Saccharomyces cerevisiae S288C: one gene and its partners. The gene in region 3 interacts genetically with the main gene of each other region. Each region holds a gene or a part of one and is shown on either strand. Other genes may lie near its edges. The genes, in order: PMA1, PAH1, SPO7 and BRR6.

Region 1 (5,217 bases), on a different chromosome or scaffold from region 3:
AAATTAGTGTGTGTGCATTATATATATTAAAAATTAAGAATTAGACTAAATAAAGTGTTTCTAAAAAAATATTAAAGTTGAAATGTGCGTGTTGTGAATTGTGCTCTATTAGAATAATTATGACTTGTGTGCGTTTCATATTTTAAAATAGGAAATAACCAAGAAAGAAAAAGTACCATCCAGAGAAACCAATTATATCAAATCAAATAAAACAACCAGCTTCGGTGTGTGTGTGTGTGTGAAGCTAAGAGTTGATGCCATTTAATCTAAAAATTTTAAGGTGTGTGTGTGGATAAAATATTAGAATGACAATTCGAGATGAAATTTTAAGCAAACTCTAGTAGGAAATAAGCGGCTTATTCTTGTTGGCTCCTAATTCTTTTTAGTGTATCAGTTCCCATTGATAAAAAAATTAAAATTAAAATTAGAAAAATTAAACCAGAAAAATCAAGTTGATTAAAATGTGACAAAAATTATGATTAAATGCTACTTCAACAGGATTAGGTTTCCTTTTCGTGTTGAGTAGAGACTCTTTGCATAGCAGCCATGAAGTCTTCGACACTTCTGGTAGACTTCTTTTCCTTCATTGGCTTACCGTTCATCAATCTGTCAAAGGCTTCAGAAGTGGACATTTCGTAGTAGAAACCACCCAAAACACAGAAGATACCGATAGACCAGATCCAGACACGGACGACAGTAACAATATCAGTCCAGTTTTCAGACCACCAACCGAATAAGGTAAACATGGTAGCGATGATGTCGACAGCGAAGACGGCACCAGCCAATTGCCAGGATGGGATAGAAGACCAGAATGGACCAGCAGCTCTGGTAATGAAAATCAACCAGTTTTCAGTCAAGGAAATTTGCAAGAACATAATACCGTTCATAGCACCGAAGTTTTGGATAATACCACCCTTTGGTAAGAACATAGTAGTCAAGGTAATCCAAGAACCTATAGCTAAAACTATGCCCAAAATAATAGACATACCCCATAATCTTGGTAGGTTCCATTTAACGGGCTTTGGAGAGTAAGGAGCATTATCGTAAGCAATAGCCAAAGTAGCAACATCAGCGAAAATAGCGATGAAAACAATCAAATCAATGTCCAAAGAGTTATCCAAAATAGCAATCCATAGACCCAAGAAGATTTCCAAATGTAGAGACAAAGCAATACGGTAAACAACGTAAGAGTACATTCTGTGAAAAATTTGTCTGGAGGTCTTCAAAGCATCAATAATAGCAGATAGACCAGGAGCCAAGAAAACAATATCAGCAGCAGATCTGGCAGCATCAGTAGCACCTTCGACAGCAATACCAGTATCAGCCTTCTTCAAAGATGGAGCATCGTTAACACCATCACCAGTCATAGCAACCAAGTAACCTCTGTTTTGCAAGATTTCAACAACTCTGTATTTATGTTGTGGGAAAACTTCAGCGAAACCATCGGCATTTTCAACAAAATCAGCTAATTCAGAACCTGGCATGTCACCACCGCCACCTAGACCTAATCTTTCAGCGTTGTAAATGTTGGTACCCAAACCCAATTGTCTACAAGTTTCCTTAGCAATACCAACAGCATCACCAGTTAACATCTTAACTCTTAGACCCAAGTGTCTAGCTTCGCTAACAGTTTGAGCAGTATCGTCTCTTGGTGGATCCATACATGGCATAACACCCAAGATTTCCCAGTGACCTTCACCTCTCTTTCTAGCAACACCTAAAGCACGGAACCCTCTAGAAGCCAATTCAGCAACCTTGTTTTCGTAGTTTTCATGGACATCTTCTGGGATTGGGTGATCTTCTTCGACAGTCTTCAAGACGAATAATGGAGCACCCTTAACACAAACAATTCTTTCACCTTCTGGAGATTCGACAACGGCAGTAACCTTCTTGGAGACAGGGTCAAATGGATGGAATTCCAAAACCTTGTACTTGGTCAAAGCGTCCTTAGCCTTTGGATATTGCTTCAAAGACTTCAAGAAAGCCTTATCAATAGCATCCAAACCCTTCTTCTTTCTGGAAGCAGCCAAACAAGCAGTCAACATCAAGTCGTCTGGAGAAACACCTTCAACAGTGTATGGTTCGTGCAAGGACAACTTGTTCTTGGTCAAAGTACCGGTTTTGTCGGAACACAAGATTTCGACACCAGCCAAGGATTCAATAGCAGACAACTTTTGAACAATGGCTTGTTTCTTAGCCAAGTAAGCAGCACCGACGGCCATAGTGGTGGTAACGACAGCTGGCAAACCGACTGGGACACCAATAATAGTAATACCTAGAGTGTATCTCAAGATTCTAACAATACCGTTGGTTCTGTAGAAACAAGCAGTCCAGACCAACAACAAAGTGGCAATGACCAAAACCAATAAGATAATACCAATACCGTTCAAAACTTCAGTGAAATGACCTTGACCACCAGCGGCTTTGTTAACCAAAGCAGCAGCTCTACCAACGAAAGTGTTGTCACCGGTAGCGGTAACAACCATGAAACCTTCACCTCTCTTAACAGTGGAAGAAGAGAAAGTTTGGTCACCGTAATGTTTGTCGACAGCCAAAGATTCACCAGTAATAGCAGATTGATCGATTTGCAAGAAACAGTCTTCAGTGACAATACGACCATCAGTTGGGATAACAGTACCATCTTCCAATTGCAAAATATCACCTGGGACGACTTCGTTGGCTGGAATTTCAACCAATTGACCGTCTCTGATAACAACAGCAGTGTTAGCCAAAGTCTTTTTCAATTCATCGACAATAGAACCAGCTTGGAATTCTTGAACGAAACCAACACCAGCGTTTAACATTAACAAACCACAGATAACACCGAAATCGACCCAATCGGACAAACCGGCAGCCAAAATAGCAGCGGCTTCCATAACGAATTGAATTGGACCGACGAAAAACATAACGAACTTAACGACTAAAGATTCTTTTTCGTCAGCCATTTGATTCAAACCGTACTTCTTTCTTCTTTTCAAAACTTCATCGGAAGTTAAACCGTAAGATGGGTCAGTTTGTAAATATTCTTCTGGAACTGGTCTAGCTTCACCGGCGGCAACTGGACCATCGTTATCACTGTCTTCGTCGTCGACACCGTGATTAGATTGTAGTTCTTCGATTAAAGCATCGATATCGTCATCGTCAGAAGATTCAGATGCAGCGTCATCGTAAGTCTTAGCAGGCTTTTCTTGAGTTGGCTGATGAGCTGAAACAGAAGATGCTGAAGAGGATGATGAAGAGGATGATGTATCAGTCATATTGATATTGTTTGATAATTAAATCTTTCTTATCTTCTTATTCTTTTCAATGATTTTCTTTAACTAGCTGGGGTATATTTTTTTTCTTTCTTTTGAATGTGTGTATAAAAGAGAGAAAAAATGGTTATTTTCCAATTAATTAATTATTAACGATTGTTAAAGAAAAAATTTATCAACGAGGTTGATAGAAAAAAAAAGTTTTTGTAGATATAGAAGAAAAAAAGATTTTCACTATTGGTGTTATAGGAAAGAAAGAGAAAAAATTTAAGAGAAATTAGATGTTAGACGATAATGATAGGACATTTGAAAATAATACAATATTTGGCCTTTTTATATAATCGAAACTAATGGAGGGGAGCATAAGCGGTACCCACCATCGACCACGTTTCGTCACCGGTCATAATTGGAATAAACAAAACAAACAAACGAACTAAAGAGTGTGAGAGTAACAATTTCCACAGAGGTAAAAAAAAAAAAAAGGAAAACAGAAACAAAAAAAGCTCATAGTTCTACTATAGCTTCTTCAGACTTTCTGTGAACGAGGGAAAAAGACAACAAAAAAGCAATGGATAAACGGTCTCGAGAGATTTTTCATGATGGAAAAGGAAGGAAAAAAACCCGAAAGGCATATGGATAACATTCTGAAAATGTCTATTCCTGTCAAAAGCATGTCAGAGGTCTCGAGGCCTGGAAGTGCCGCATTAGGAAATACAGATGCAATGCGCGCGAGTTTACGAAATTCTCGCAGGAGTTTCTCCGGCCATGTGCGGCTGGTTCTACGTCTCGTGTATGGGTTTATTTCTGCGGTAATTATCGCCGGATCTCCGCTTCGAGACCGGGTTTGTTTTCAAATTACCGGAAAAGGTCAGGCAAAACAGAGTGATGTATGGGTGATCCCAGCAATGCCTGTTTATGTTTCTCCGTTTCAGGAAGCTTGTTTTGTTTTTTCCCCGTCAGCGATGGTGACGTAAACGACTTTTTGCACTTTAGCAAAGCTGAGTTAATCTCGGAAAATCTCTGTGTCCTTCCTTTTTCTTCTAGCTTCCGTTCCGAGTCTCATCTTCTTTCCCGTGCCGTCGGGTTTAGTAAAGAAATGTAAAGAAAAAATGTCGTATCGTACCCGAGAAATATTTCAATTCTCTTACGTATGCGATAGCAGTTGGAAAGATCTGATTCGTTACGATGACTTGATAAGCGCGGGCTTTTTCGCCCTATACGGCTTGGGCCTGACTAAAATGTGATTCTGTGTTTTACGTATATGCGCGTATATAGAGCAATTGATTGACTTATTACGCAGTTTATCAAGATAAATTCTTTGTTCTTGCTTACGGGAGTGTGGTAAGCATGTATACGCCCGTTTAAAAACCCGATGGAGGCTTTTTCCCCAATTCTCGTACTCCATTGGGCATATGATTTCTTTCTTTTTCCCTTTTTTTTTTTTTCTATTTCCCTAAACTAACAGAACAAGCTTCAAAACAAATGACGGAGAGAAAAACAGTTTTGATTTACCAAATGCGGCAAACTTATTGAGGCTAGACACAGCTCTACCGGATTCGTCCGAGCACTTTTTTGTTTTCTTTTCTATATTTACTACAAACATAACAAAGTTTTGTGCGTCTTCCCTAAAGCAGCTAGGATGAAAATCCTATGCTCTCATCTCGCTGGTTGCCATCTCATCGCATCCAATGCTGTCTGTAATCATTTTATTGGACTTTTCTTTGTTTGCTAATCCCCCTTTTCTTTTTCCCGTTCTTTTCTTGTCCTTGTTTTTCATTTTAACTATATTTCTGAAATTAAGGAAAAATAAGGCAAAAAGTGGGTGGATGCATCTGCGACTTCTCTAGTTTTGCGCCTACTTGGGCGCGCTAATAATAAGGGTTTAGCTTCTTAAAATAAAAATGTCAGTAACAGTTGTACGATAAGGTCTTTACTTTTTTTCTCTCGAGAAATGTCTTTTTCT
Region 2 (5,007 bases), on a different chromosome or scaffold from region 3:
TGTTACTAGAGCGCTCATTTGTATTAATATTGGTCGTGTTATCCATATCTTTATCATGCACCTTTTTCTTATTTCACTGCAGTTTAACGAAAAATTGACAAAAGAACCGGGAGATACCAAAGGGAAAAACCAAAAGAGTCACACAGGATTGCAATAGAAATCTTTCTGGTCTTTTCTACTATGGTGATTTTATTATACCCCTCCTCTTCCTGTTATACACGCATTGTATTTCGGCATTGCCTCTTGGCCGCTTTTTTCACCTGACGTAATACCTGTTGCAGCAAGCGAGTTTCGTGTGCGTATAGAAAAGTATTTACCTTGACATTTCGAAGAAGTATGTAATTACCAAATAGCTCAGAAGAACACTTGGTACGTAACAATCATCGTTTACCTTTTTCTTCTATCAAAAAATTTTCTTCTTTTTTTTTTCCTTCTCTTTTCTTAAATAAAATTGAAAAATTGTTACTTAGTACTTCATAATTTTACTTAATATGCAGTATGGATCGTTATAAATAATATTCGGCTACAAGAATCTTTAATCTTCGAATTCATCTTCGTCGAATTCATCGTCATCGAATTCATCGCTTACTCTTGAATCCAAATCTTTATCGTCCATTGAGTTGTGGGGTAGCTGATTGCGCCCTGTTTCATTAACACTTTGCTCCCTTCGTGATTCGGTATCTGAATTCCCAAGTGAATGTACGTCATTTGAAACGTTGATCTTTGAAACAATTCTTGTTGGAGCGCCGGCCTTTGACACAGAGAGCTTTTTGAACTCTTTATCGATACTAGTCGCGGCTGCAGAAGATGCTCTCCTTGATTTAGTTCTATTGTAATTGGAGTCTTCATCATCCATATCGTCTAAATATCTTAGTTTTGGCGATGCAAGTGGAGAACCTAGCTCCAAATATATTTGTTTTCCAATGTCCCCTTTGGACATTGTAGATTTATTGGGCGTGGATCCTGAGCTACTATGGGAACTCACCAGGTCAGACGCATTTTCTACATCAGACGAAGCGGCTAAAACTTCGTTGTTATTTGTGCTGCCGCTCACATTTCTTTGCGGGGCTTTAGTGACCTTGGCGGTTTTGACTGAATTTGCCCTATTTCTACTAATGTTGCTTTGTTGTGATACGTCAGTATCTTCATCGATGTTATCAGAATCATCATTGCTAATATCCGATAAGTTGTCGATGTCGACTAACGGGTCTCTCCAAAAATTTACGTCTGTGAATTTCTCTTCCTGATTGCCTCTAAATAGCGTTTTGCGACCTGAAGTAATTTCTGAGTCAAAGTTATCCAACGTTCTATTAGGGGGGGAGCCAGGAACCATGGAAGTATTAGTTCTTAGATCGACACTATCAAGGCTGACTGGTGGAAAGAAATGATCGACAAGCTCATTGATATGAATATAGGAGCTTCTGTAACCTGCTAACTCCAATAATTCCATATGAACCTCACCCTCTGTATTTATTGTGAAAATTCTTGAACTAGGTATCCCCACAGTTCTGTAAGATAAAGCATCAGTAATCCTATTACCAAAGCCGGCAAAAAATGGTGTTGATTTTTCCTCTGTATCCACTTCGTTATCACTGTCTTCAAAATACAAGGATCTTATGTCGTTTAGACACGCGATTTTAAAGACTTCAGGTTTTTTTAGTATTACTTCCCGCCTTAACGCAGCCATCGTTCTATCGGGTGATAAAATCACAGGCCCATTTGGTAGTTTGCTGCCATTCTGTTCAATTGATCGCAAATAACTCCTCGTGGAATCAGCTTGTCCAGCACTTCTTGCAGTTAGATAGAGTATATTATAGCCATTCCTGGAGATCTCGCTAAATAACTTGGCTACACCCAAGTGCGTCCAGTCTTTTCCTATCATTGCCAGAACATGGCCTAAAGCGTCCGATTTTGTGATGGTGCCATCAATATCACTGATAACAATTGGAACATCCCACCTCCAAACGAATAATTTTGACGTAACAATAGCTTTTCCGTGATCTACGGAAAATTTCAGATCATTTTCACCATAAGTTAAATTTAGGCACTTTAACTGGTCATTAGTCAATCTTATCGTTCGTATGTATCTTTTCTCGGTCTCACCGCTCCCTGCTGTTCCTTTCTTGCTAGTTTTTTCACTTTTACTGCTTTGTTCTTTGCTAAATGATGTTTCGTCCTCAGTATCGGAACCAGAAGGTGAAGAAGATAACGAATTCAAAGTACTTCCTGATTCCATTGCATCTAAGCCTAAAACTGATCCGCTTGTGGCCATTGTTGGAGGCGTACCTGGAGGAGATAAATCAGTAAGGTGCTCGTAAGGATTTACGATCTTGATGTTGCCATTTTTGTCCTCCTTGATAAAACTGGAAATATCTGAATCATTACCGAATTCGTCCTTTAACAACTGCTTCAGTTGTATGTCTGTGTCATGCATCATATTCTTGTTTGGCTTGTAACCTTCAGTGTCTAGTAGTAAGTCGCCATTGTTATCAAGTTTACTGGGTATATGGATTTCAGTGAGTTTTTTGTTTAGTTTTTGCTGAAAGTTCTTTGTACGCTGCTCAACAAGCTTCCTCTCTTCAACTGAATCTGGTGGTGTCGTTGTAGAGGATTCAGTAGGAGAAAGCGACCCTGTAGTTTCACTATTTTTACTGCCTGAATCTCCAGTGTCATTGATATCTAAAAAATCTGGTTCCTCTAGCACTTTCTTTTCCTTCTTCTTATTTTCATTTTCACCTTCACCTTCACCCTCGGTTCCTCCTTCTAAGATGGATGTTTCAGGTGATTGAGGGGGGCTTGATGTGGCGCTCATCACGGGCGACACAAGCAATTCGTCAGGGACATCAGTGACCTGGTCACCCATCTCGAAAACGAAATAGGCTTCTCCAGAATCACTCAGTTTCATTGGCATATTACTCAGTTTCTCATTTATAAACACTTGGACTTTCTTTTGAGATGGCTTTAGAATTTGAAATTTGCCGAACCTCACATGAAAGGGAGAACATGATAGCCTTCCGTCTGGATGCTCCACTACAATGACATCTATAGCACCTGATAGCGTAGCCGGATTGATAGAAGACCATGTTTTAGACACAGACCCAAGAGCTCTGCCTACGTACTGCATAATCGACCGATGTGTCTATCTTCAGTAATTTCTTCCCTGTATGTTTCTTAGAAGGTAAAACTGTGATTACGAAGGTGTAGTGTCCAATTGGTCTGATTAACACTTCTTGAACACGTTTTACTAAATTGTTGAATGTATTTTCTTTATAAACACAAGCCCCCACGATGGCCTACTCTTCACTTGTCCTTGCTCTTCCTTCTACCCTCACCGTGCGCTGCTTTCAACGCTGGCCGGAAAAGCCGAGAAAAAGAGATAGATAATAGAGAAAAGAGAGCCCATTGTCTAAAGGGAGGGAAACCGAAGGACGAAAAGGGCCCGCGACAGACCGTTTAGAGAATGAGCAGCACGTGGGCACTTCGATTTTGTCTCCCAGTGATGTAGTGTTATGATATACAAGATGAGTTTGGACCCTGTTCAAGCAAATCTGTCACATTTGTTAGACTTTTTTTTAAACGAGCCCTCCAAACAAGAACGCTCAGTGTTAGGAACTGCGAACGAAGAGAGAAATGCGTATTAAACTTAGATGAGTATTCTTGCCGTAAATGACTATATACAAAACTTATTCGGAAGAACCTATATCTATGTATGTGAAATGATAAGTACAAGACCCACTGTGATGTGCAGTGATGGCGAATAGGGTGAGGTCCCTTGTACTGTCTTTATTGTAGCCGCTTGTAGGAAAAGTTTTATCACATAAAATTATCCTCTAGAGAGTTAGATGAGCCAGAAATCAGGCTCTTAGTCCGTTGGAAATGCGTTACTTAATCCGCGTAGGGTCATTTGATACAGAAGCAACATTATACTGCTCTGAACACTTGTCCAGACGAATCTAGGGCCAACGCCACTAAAGAAACCTAACACACCTTCAGATTGGTAGACCGTCCGAAGGCTGAGCGAAATCGAGTTGGAAAGTGCTGCCGGTCTGCCGTTTGTTACATGTGGATGTGTTACTGAGTATGATTTGTTGCTTTGGCTGGGCGGCTGTTGAGTTTGGACTCTAGTCTTAACAACATCCATTGGTGTGGTAATGATTCCCGCCAGTCCACCTGCACAGGCACCAGTCAATATTTCATTAGGTATAGACAACTCACCATCCCTACCATCTTTCTGTTCAATCTTGAAAGCCAATTGCCTAAACTTTTCGTAGAAGGCAAACTGCAATGCACTAAATGGCAAATCTCTGGCTAAAGTGGCTTTGTATCCAAAAAATAGTGAGCGAAACCCTTCTTCTTTTATAACTGTCTTTATGGCATTTCTTAAATTCGAATAATTATAGCCAGATTGAAAGAAAGGATTATTGAACCTTCCTTGCAATTGTAGCCTTGTCTTTAGGACCTCTGATGGAACATAAACAAAACTGGAGATAAAATCGCCAAGAAATCCAGCGCTCAAATGTGTGATGGTATCGTTAATCTGCCAATCTTCTATCATTGTTCTCTTAGTATATTCATAGGTCCCAAAGAAGATTGCCGCTGACGGGAAGGAGCCTAACATGGCAGCCATGTAACCGCCGTATAGCCCCCTTCTCACGCCTTCTTCTAGCCAAATGGTACGATATGCAGAGATCATGTTCCTGTATTTTTTGACATTGGGTGCGCCCTGTTGTCTTGTCTTAACAGTATCCAATGAATGCATCGCAGAATCTCCTATTTTTCCACCAATCCCACCGGAGACGACACAATGCCATATAGGGCTTAAGTCCTCATCTGAATCGCCTCTTTTTTTGTGCAGTTTATCATCTTTTCGGTTATTATTTGGTTGATCTGGAGTTCCTTCTGATGTCGGGGGATGGTCATGAGGCGTATGTATTATCGGTATTGAAGAACTCAGGTTCCATGAGTTCATTATCTTTTATACCAGTCGGTTGGAAGTGAAGATTATTA
Region 3 (3,218 bases):
TCCTCGGTAATTGCCGTACTGTTGCCCACAGTTGGTTCCAAGGGACCCTGTTGTTTGACAGCTGCCCCTAAAGAATCATTGAATATCAACTTAGAAGGCTGGCGATTCATCAAGTAAAAGCCACCAGCAACTATGCCAGCACCGCCTAACCCTACAGAGCGAGTTAAGGGCTTTCCTAATTTATTGGCGACATTAAACCTCCATAAGGGGACGTTCTTGAACATGCGCTTCCCAACATTCAAATTACGAAACACCAACCGTTGCATATTAAAAGCCAAAGTCATTTTACACCTATTATTTTAAGTTCTTCCTTCTTGCCCCTCTAGCGTTATGCTGTTGTATGTATAATAAGATGCCTTGTTTAACCAATTTCAACAACCCCTAGGTTTTCTAGCACTTGTTGGAAAACTTAAATATGAAATGACGGATTTGTAAAATTTTCACGACACAACAGCTTCACTTCTAATAATGTATAAAATATAATTTATGTGTGAACATAGATGGTTACAATTTTACATAGGTAAATATGACCTCTTATTCGAAGGAAGAAGCCCTCCAACTCTTTCATTCTGATTTAGGTCGGAGTTCGTGCGCTTGTTTGCGTCTTCTAGCACCTTCCCTGGCCCAAAACTCGTCTCTATAAATCTCCCATCCTTCTCTAATCTCTGCACTAAATGCTCTGGGGTTGAGGACTAATTTCACATCCACAGCTCCGATCCTCGGTTGGGATTGTATCGTGACACTTTTCCAAAATTTCACAATGGCATTATCGTCTTTAAGCCACAGAAATTTTTTCAAACAATAAATATTACAATAAGCAATTGTTCGACTCACAAATCTTACTGAATCTGTGTATTTCTCGTCCCACGTAGACTGTACTTTAACTAGCTTCACATTAAACTGCCTAATCCCTTTATTAGTAGAGGTAAAAAATCTTCTTGGAATGACGATAGTTCTTCTATATTGTCCACTGATATGAAAAAGAACTACAGTAATGGAAATGAAAGAAAGAGTGAATTGCAAAATAACCCTATGGAGGCCCTTGACATAATCTGAAGTGAAATAAAGTTCGTAGAAGGTAAATGCGCCTACACCGGCCATAGACGCTAAGAACAAAGTGAATTGCCACTTCAGTATCTTTTGTTCGTGAGCTTGGCGTCTTAAATCATCCTCCAGTATCAACAAATTCCTGAAAATCATCGATGCTGGAGAGATATTACTGGAGTTCCGTATATTCTTCGCACTGGATGTCTTGCTAGTAGAACGCCTGCGAGGCCCGGACACTATACTGGCACTATCATCCTGGGCATGGTTCCCCACATCGCCTATGCTCTCTGGCTCCATGACCTCCTTTATTTAGCTTTCCACTACCTTTCTTCCTTTGTGTGTATAATCAATAGATTTTCGCTAAATTTCGCATCTTCCCTTTTAAGAATAATTAGTATTTAATTTTACTTTGACTTTATTGTTGAGTGAAGAAACAAAGCAAATATACGTTAGGAAAAAGACACGAACAGAGAAGACCGATCTTGATGCTACCCTATATGGACCAAGTACTAAGGGCATTTTATCAGAGCACCCATTGGAGTACGCAAAATAGCTACGAGGATATAACGGCCACATCGAGAACATTATTAGATTTCCGAATTCCCTCAGCAATACACCTGCAAATTTCCAACAAATCTACTCCCAATACATTCAATTCTTTAGATTTTTCTACGAGGTCCAGGATAAATGGTTCTCTGAGTTATTTATACTCCGATGCACAGCAATTGGAGAAATTCATGCGCAACTCTACTGATATCCCATTACAAGATGCCACCGAAACATACAGACAATTGCAACCAAACCTCAATTTCAGTGTTAGTAGTGCGAATACGTTGAGTAGTGACAACACCACAGTCGACAATGACAAGAAATTACTACATGACTCGAAATTTGTTAAAAAATCCCTTTATTATGGTAGAATGTACTACCCCAGCTCTGATTTAGAAGCAATGATAATAAAACGACTAAGTCCACAAACCCAATTTATGCTTAAGGGTGTCAGTAGTTTCAAAGAAAGCTTAAACGTTTTAACGTGCTATTTTCAAAGAGATTCTCACCGCAATTTACAGGAGTGGATATTTTCCACCAGTGATCTATTATGTGGTTATAGAGTATTACACAATTTCCTTACCACGCCTTCCAAGTTTAACACCTCACTGTACAATAATTCTTCGTTGTCGCTTGGTGCTGAATTTTGGTTAGGGTTAGTAAGTTTAAGCCCCGGTTGTTCGACAACTTTAAGATATTACACACATTCTACAAACACAGGACGACCACTAACTTTGACATTATCTTGGAATCCATTATTCGGCCATATATCCTCCACATATTCGGCCAAGACAGGGACAAATTCTACTTTTTGCGCGAAGTATGATTTTAATCTTTATTCGATTGAATCAAATCTTTCATTTGGGTGCGAATTTTGGCAAAAAAAGCATCATTTGCTTGAAACCAATAAAAACAATAATGATAAATTAGAACCAATCTCCGACGAATTGGTTGATATAAATCCAAACAGCAGAGCGACTAAACTACTGCACGAAAATGTACCGGATCTGAATTCAGCTGTTAACGATATTCCTTCTACACTAGATATACCTGTTCACAAACAAAAGCTATTAAATGATTTAACTTATGCATTCTCGTCGTCATTAAGAAAAATCGATGAAGAAAGATCTACCATCGAAAAATTTGATAACAAAATAAATAGTTCCATTTTTACCAGTGTTTGGAAATTAAGCACGTCATTACGTGACAAGACTTTAAAACTATTATGGGAAGGCAAATGGAGGGGATTTTTAATATCTGCCGGGACAGAGCTGGTATTCACTAGAGGCTTTCAAGAAAGTTTATCCGATGATGAAAAGAATGATAATGCAATATCTATATCAGCAACTGATACAGAAAACGGCAATATACCAGTTTTCCCGGCAAAGTTTGGCATACAATTCCAGTACTCCACATGATGAGTAATGTGAAATAAAATAAAGGTTTTAATATACAGGTTAAAAAATAAGTAATACAATGTGTATAATCATAATGGCGTTAAAGCAGAATAAAGTAACCGAACACCTTATCTTTTGTGTCTTCTGCTTCTCATGGCGTGCTCCCACTCATTTAGTTCGAACCGCAAACTTTCGCTCAAAGCTTCATCATCGTATCCATCCAAT
Region 4 (3,081 bases), on a different chromosome or scaffold from region 3:
ATTTAAAACATTATGCCGAATTGAAATGTACGCAGCAAGTTGCGAACATATCGGATACGCATAAGTTTGAGCGTAAACTGTTCCGGACCTGGCTGCAATGCTTCTTAGTTGGGATCCCAAGGATCATATATGGTTTTAAAGACGACCATTATGTATTAAAAACTGTGGAAGAGTTTTCAACGGAGGAAGTACCTGTTTTATTAAAGAACAATAATCCACAAGTTGGAAGTGCATGTTTAGAAGCCATTAAATGGTATGGTCTCCTTACTGAGTGGCTTTTGAAAATGATACCAAGAGATGAGGATCCTCATTCTCAAATAAGAGCATTTAAGTTGGTTTTCGAAAATAATCACCTAAGATTATCCGAAATTGAAGAAAGTGATGAGGAATATTCAGGTTTGATTGATGGAGAACATATATTATCGAACGGGTTTAAGGAGTGGAGAAAATCTTTGAAATAACAATATTCCTTTATGTCTTTCCTGCGCATATCCTCATCGACGTATGGATCTAAATAATATAAATGTGCAGATTAGATTAAGTTATATACACTATGCATGGCGAACCGATTTTGTATCTTTATTATTGAGATAAACCCTGTATGATCCGAAACTCGTATTGGTAACAAATATTATACCTATTATGCTAATTAAAATGAAAAGGAAAGATCGTATACTGAACGCTTCAAAAAAAGCATTTATTACCTCCGCCAGAGTACGAGCCCATGCTTTAGCCCATTGGTAATCGGAGCCAGACACTATTTCCTTGTTCATACATTTTGACCATTCATTGCAACGTACCTCCAATGCTGGAACCCTCATATGAGGTTCGCACTGGTTTTCAAAATACCTTGATTTGCAAGTTGCAATTTTATCTAATTCTTCCCTCACGTTATGCTCCAGTTTTAAGTTAACATCGTTTCTTATCATCAAAATGAATTTAATAGCAAGAGACAGTCCTATAGTTCCTATAATAAAATTGAAAAAAAGCTGTATATACTCCGCAATTAAACTTGGGCTCAACCAAATGCTTTGTCGGGCTAATCTAGCATCTTGCGGATGTTCACCTTCCAATACTTCCTCCCTTCCCAATCTTGGGTTAGCAAGTATGCCATCAGGCTGTCTAGAAAAACTACGGAGTTCCATTCCGGGACTTATGTTGGGATAGGGGATTCAAAGATGAGTCTACATAAGTTAACTCATCAATAATAATGGAAAGAAGTTTCATTAGTTACTACTAGTATTTTGCTTGCTCCCGGGTAATGAATTTTTCCGCTTTTCATCTACGTAGTATTATGTTATTGACGTTGTGTACATTATAGAAACAAAGTGTGGCCTTCTAGCGCAATAGATATTCTCAAGTCTCCTAAGTTCCTCTCCTCAGCTAAAAATCGTAACTCTTCGAGTATGGTTAGTCTTGGGTCTCTTTTAGCAGGTGTTGACTTAACGTGAGTAACGATAACATTCAAACCGCTTAATCCCTTACTACTGTTGTATAAAGTGTTCAAATTGGATAATTCGTTGATTAAATATATTGGAGATAGATGACCATACAATTGCTCGGGCTTGGAAGATAATGGGCATGAACATTCGACTAATATACCCTTGAGATGCACAAGCGGTATATTTTCAGCAACGTAAGACCAAAATTCTTCAAGTAGAGATTCTTCAGATTCTCTGCGGTCCTGCTCAACATCTCCGCAAACTATTATACAGTCTTTGCTTTTCCTGTCTCTGAAGATATAGAAGGTGCTGTATACCGGCGCGCCAGTCTTGACGCCTATCCCATGATGAACTTTGAACGGTATTACATCCCAAGGAAAGATAGTGCACTTTTGAACTTCCTTCGGATTCAAGCATTTTAGCTTCAATTTTCTTGAACGTTCTGCCGTTAAATCTGGCCATATTAAGTCATTAAAGACATGCTTTTGCAAAACGTCAATAGTATGCGGTAATCCCCAAATAGTTTTCTTTTTACTGTTTTCCTGCTCATATATTGAGGGGGAGTTTACTACCAGCCCACTAATATGGTCCAGATGGGGATGGGTAATGTAGTAGTCGGTAATTCCTTGGAAAACCTCGTAAGTTTTCTTCATTGTATTGGCGCTTTCAAAATGCTCTCCCTGCCTCTTTAATGATTGTAGCAAGGACTTGGATAATCCCTTTTGTATGTTCAGTTTGGAATCAATAAAAAACTCTATTGGCTCTCGATCATGTTCATAAAAGCTTGGAACAAGCTCATCATCACCTTCATTTTCATTTCGCCCTTGGACCAACATCTCCCGTAGCTGGTACATTCCTGCACCACCGTCTACAGCTATTAATTCTGGATCCTCTGTTCTAGCAGGCTTAAGTATAAAACACTGTGTTCCGTATTCGGTGGGTCCTCCATTGGCCCCAAGTATAGTTATTTCGAATACAACCATAAAAAGGAATATTGGTAAAAAAGGGGATGAAGAAGAAGAACCTCGTTAAAAGCCACTTTCTCTTGGAAATTTCTAAAAATATAAATTTCAGATATTGCTTCCCTCGAAAATGGAAAGGGTTTGACTATTGGTAATTTTTAGTTTCAAGTCACGCACCCTCACCAAAAAGTGCATCTTAATCAGTAACTCATTTTCCGTGCGGTATTTTTTTCGGGTTGTTTATTGTGACAGATGTAATATTATACATACGTTAACATATGATCTACAGATACTCCGATGATCCAAGGGTATAAAAAATAAGGTAAGGGTTAATTAGGTGGCTAGTTCATGTTAATAAATACATTTTCCTTGGTTGAATTTACTAACTGTAGCATGTAGTCGAAGAACGAAAGAGGCAGGCGTAGTATAAATAGTTTACCGGGTAACGATCCTTGCTGGATTTACCATTCTAAGGTTAATAACTTCTTCAGGCGAGTCATTTGTGAAACCGTAAGCATTTTAACAGCTTTGCTTTCTTCCTTTATTATTGCCATAAAAAATTCTTCGAGACTATATGTCTGGAAAATTTTCCGTACTAAGAGGATGTTAAATCCCAAATCTAGAAGAATATCGGCATTTGCAATATTTTTTTCTTTCTCATCGTTATATGAAAAGGC

Evidence for each region.
Region 1: mutations in SPO7 (region 3) and PMA1 together harm fitness more than expected from each alone (negative genetic interaction), as found in Saccharomyces cerevisiae (2 studies listed by BioGRID).
Region 2: of SPO7 (region 3) and PAH1, a mutation in one rescues a mutant of the other (synthetic rescue), as found in Saccharomyces cerevisiae (3 studies listed by BioGRID, with this or other methods).
Region 4: mutations in SPO7 (region 3) and BRR6 are lethal when combined (synthetic lethality), as found in Saccharomyces cerevisiae (2 studies listed by BioGRID, with this or other methods).

The regions. Positions count from the first base shown.
Region 1 is NC_001139.9:479,410-484,626, forward strand, and holds PMA1 (H(+)-exporting P2-type ATPase PMA1), read right to left. Parts: upstream 3,258-5,217; coding exon 501-3,257; downstream 1-500. Other genes in the region: YGL007C-A (uncharacterized protein), read right to left, coding at 3,532-3,618; BRP1 (Brp1p), read left to right, coding at 3,851-4,228. UniProt on the Saccharomyces cerevisiae protein: The plasma membrane ATPase of plants and fungi is a hydrogen ion pump. The proton gradient it generates drives the active transport of nutrients by H(+)-symport. The resulting external acidification and/or internal alkinization may mediate growth responses.
Region 2 is NC_001145.3:589,505-594,511, forward strand, and holds PAH1 (phosphatidate phosphatase PAH1), read right to left. Parts: upstream 3,125-5,007; coding exon 536-3,124; downstream 1-535. Other genes in the region: MSS11 (Mss11p), read right to left, coding at 1-46; MME1 (Mme1p), read right to left, coding at 3,863-4,969. UniProt on the Saccharomyces cerevisiae protein: Mg(2+)-dependent phosphatidate (PA) phosphatase which catalyzes the dephosphorylation of PA to yield diacylglycerol. Required for de novo lipid synthesis and formation of lipid droplets.
Region 3 is NC_001133.9:133,980-137,197, reverse strand, and holds SPO7 (Nem1-Spo7 phosphatase regulatory subunit SPO7), read right to left. Parts: upstream 1,345-3,218; coding exon 565-1,344; downstream 1-564. Other genes in the region: FUN14 (Fun14p), read right to left, coding at 1-284; MDM10 (Mdm10p), read left to right, coding at 1,533-3,014; SWC3 (Swc3p), read right to left, coding at 3,122-3,218. UniProt on the Saccharomyces cerevisiae protein: Regulatory component of the NEM1-SPO7 complex which acts as a phosphatase and dephosphorylates the phosphatidic acid phosphohydrolase PAH1. Essential for the formation of a spherical nucleus and meiotic division.
Region 4 is NC_001139.9:34,997-38,077, reverse strand, and holds BRR6 (Brr6p), read right to left. Parts: upstream 1,146-3,081; coding exon 552-1,145; downstream 1-551. Other genes in the region: RAI1 (decapping nuclease), read left to right, coding at 1-461; 3',5'-cyclic-nucleotide phosphodiesterase PDE1, read right to left, coding at 1,316-2,425; ZIP2 (Zip2p), read right to left, coding at 2,866-3,081. UniProt on the Saccharomyces cerevisiae protein: Required for mRNA nuclear export. Involved in the nuclear pore complex (NPC) distribution and nuclear envelope morphology.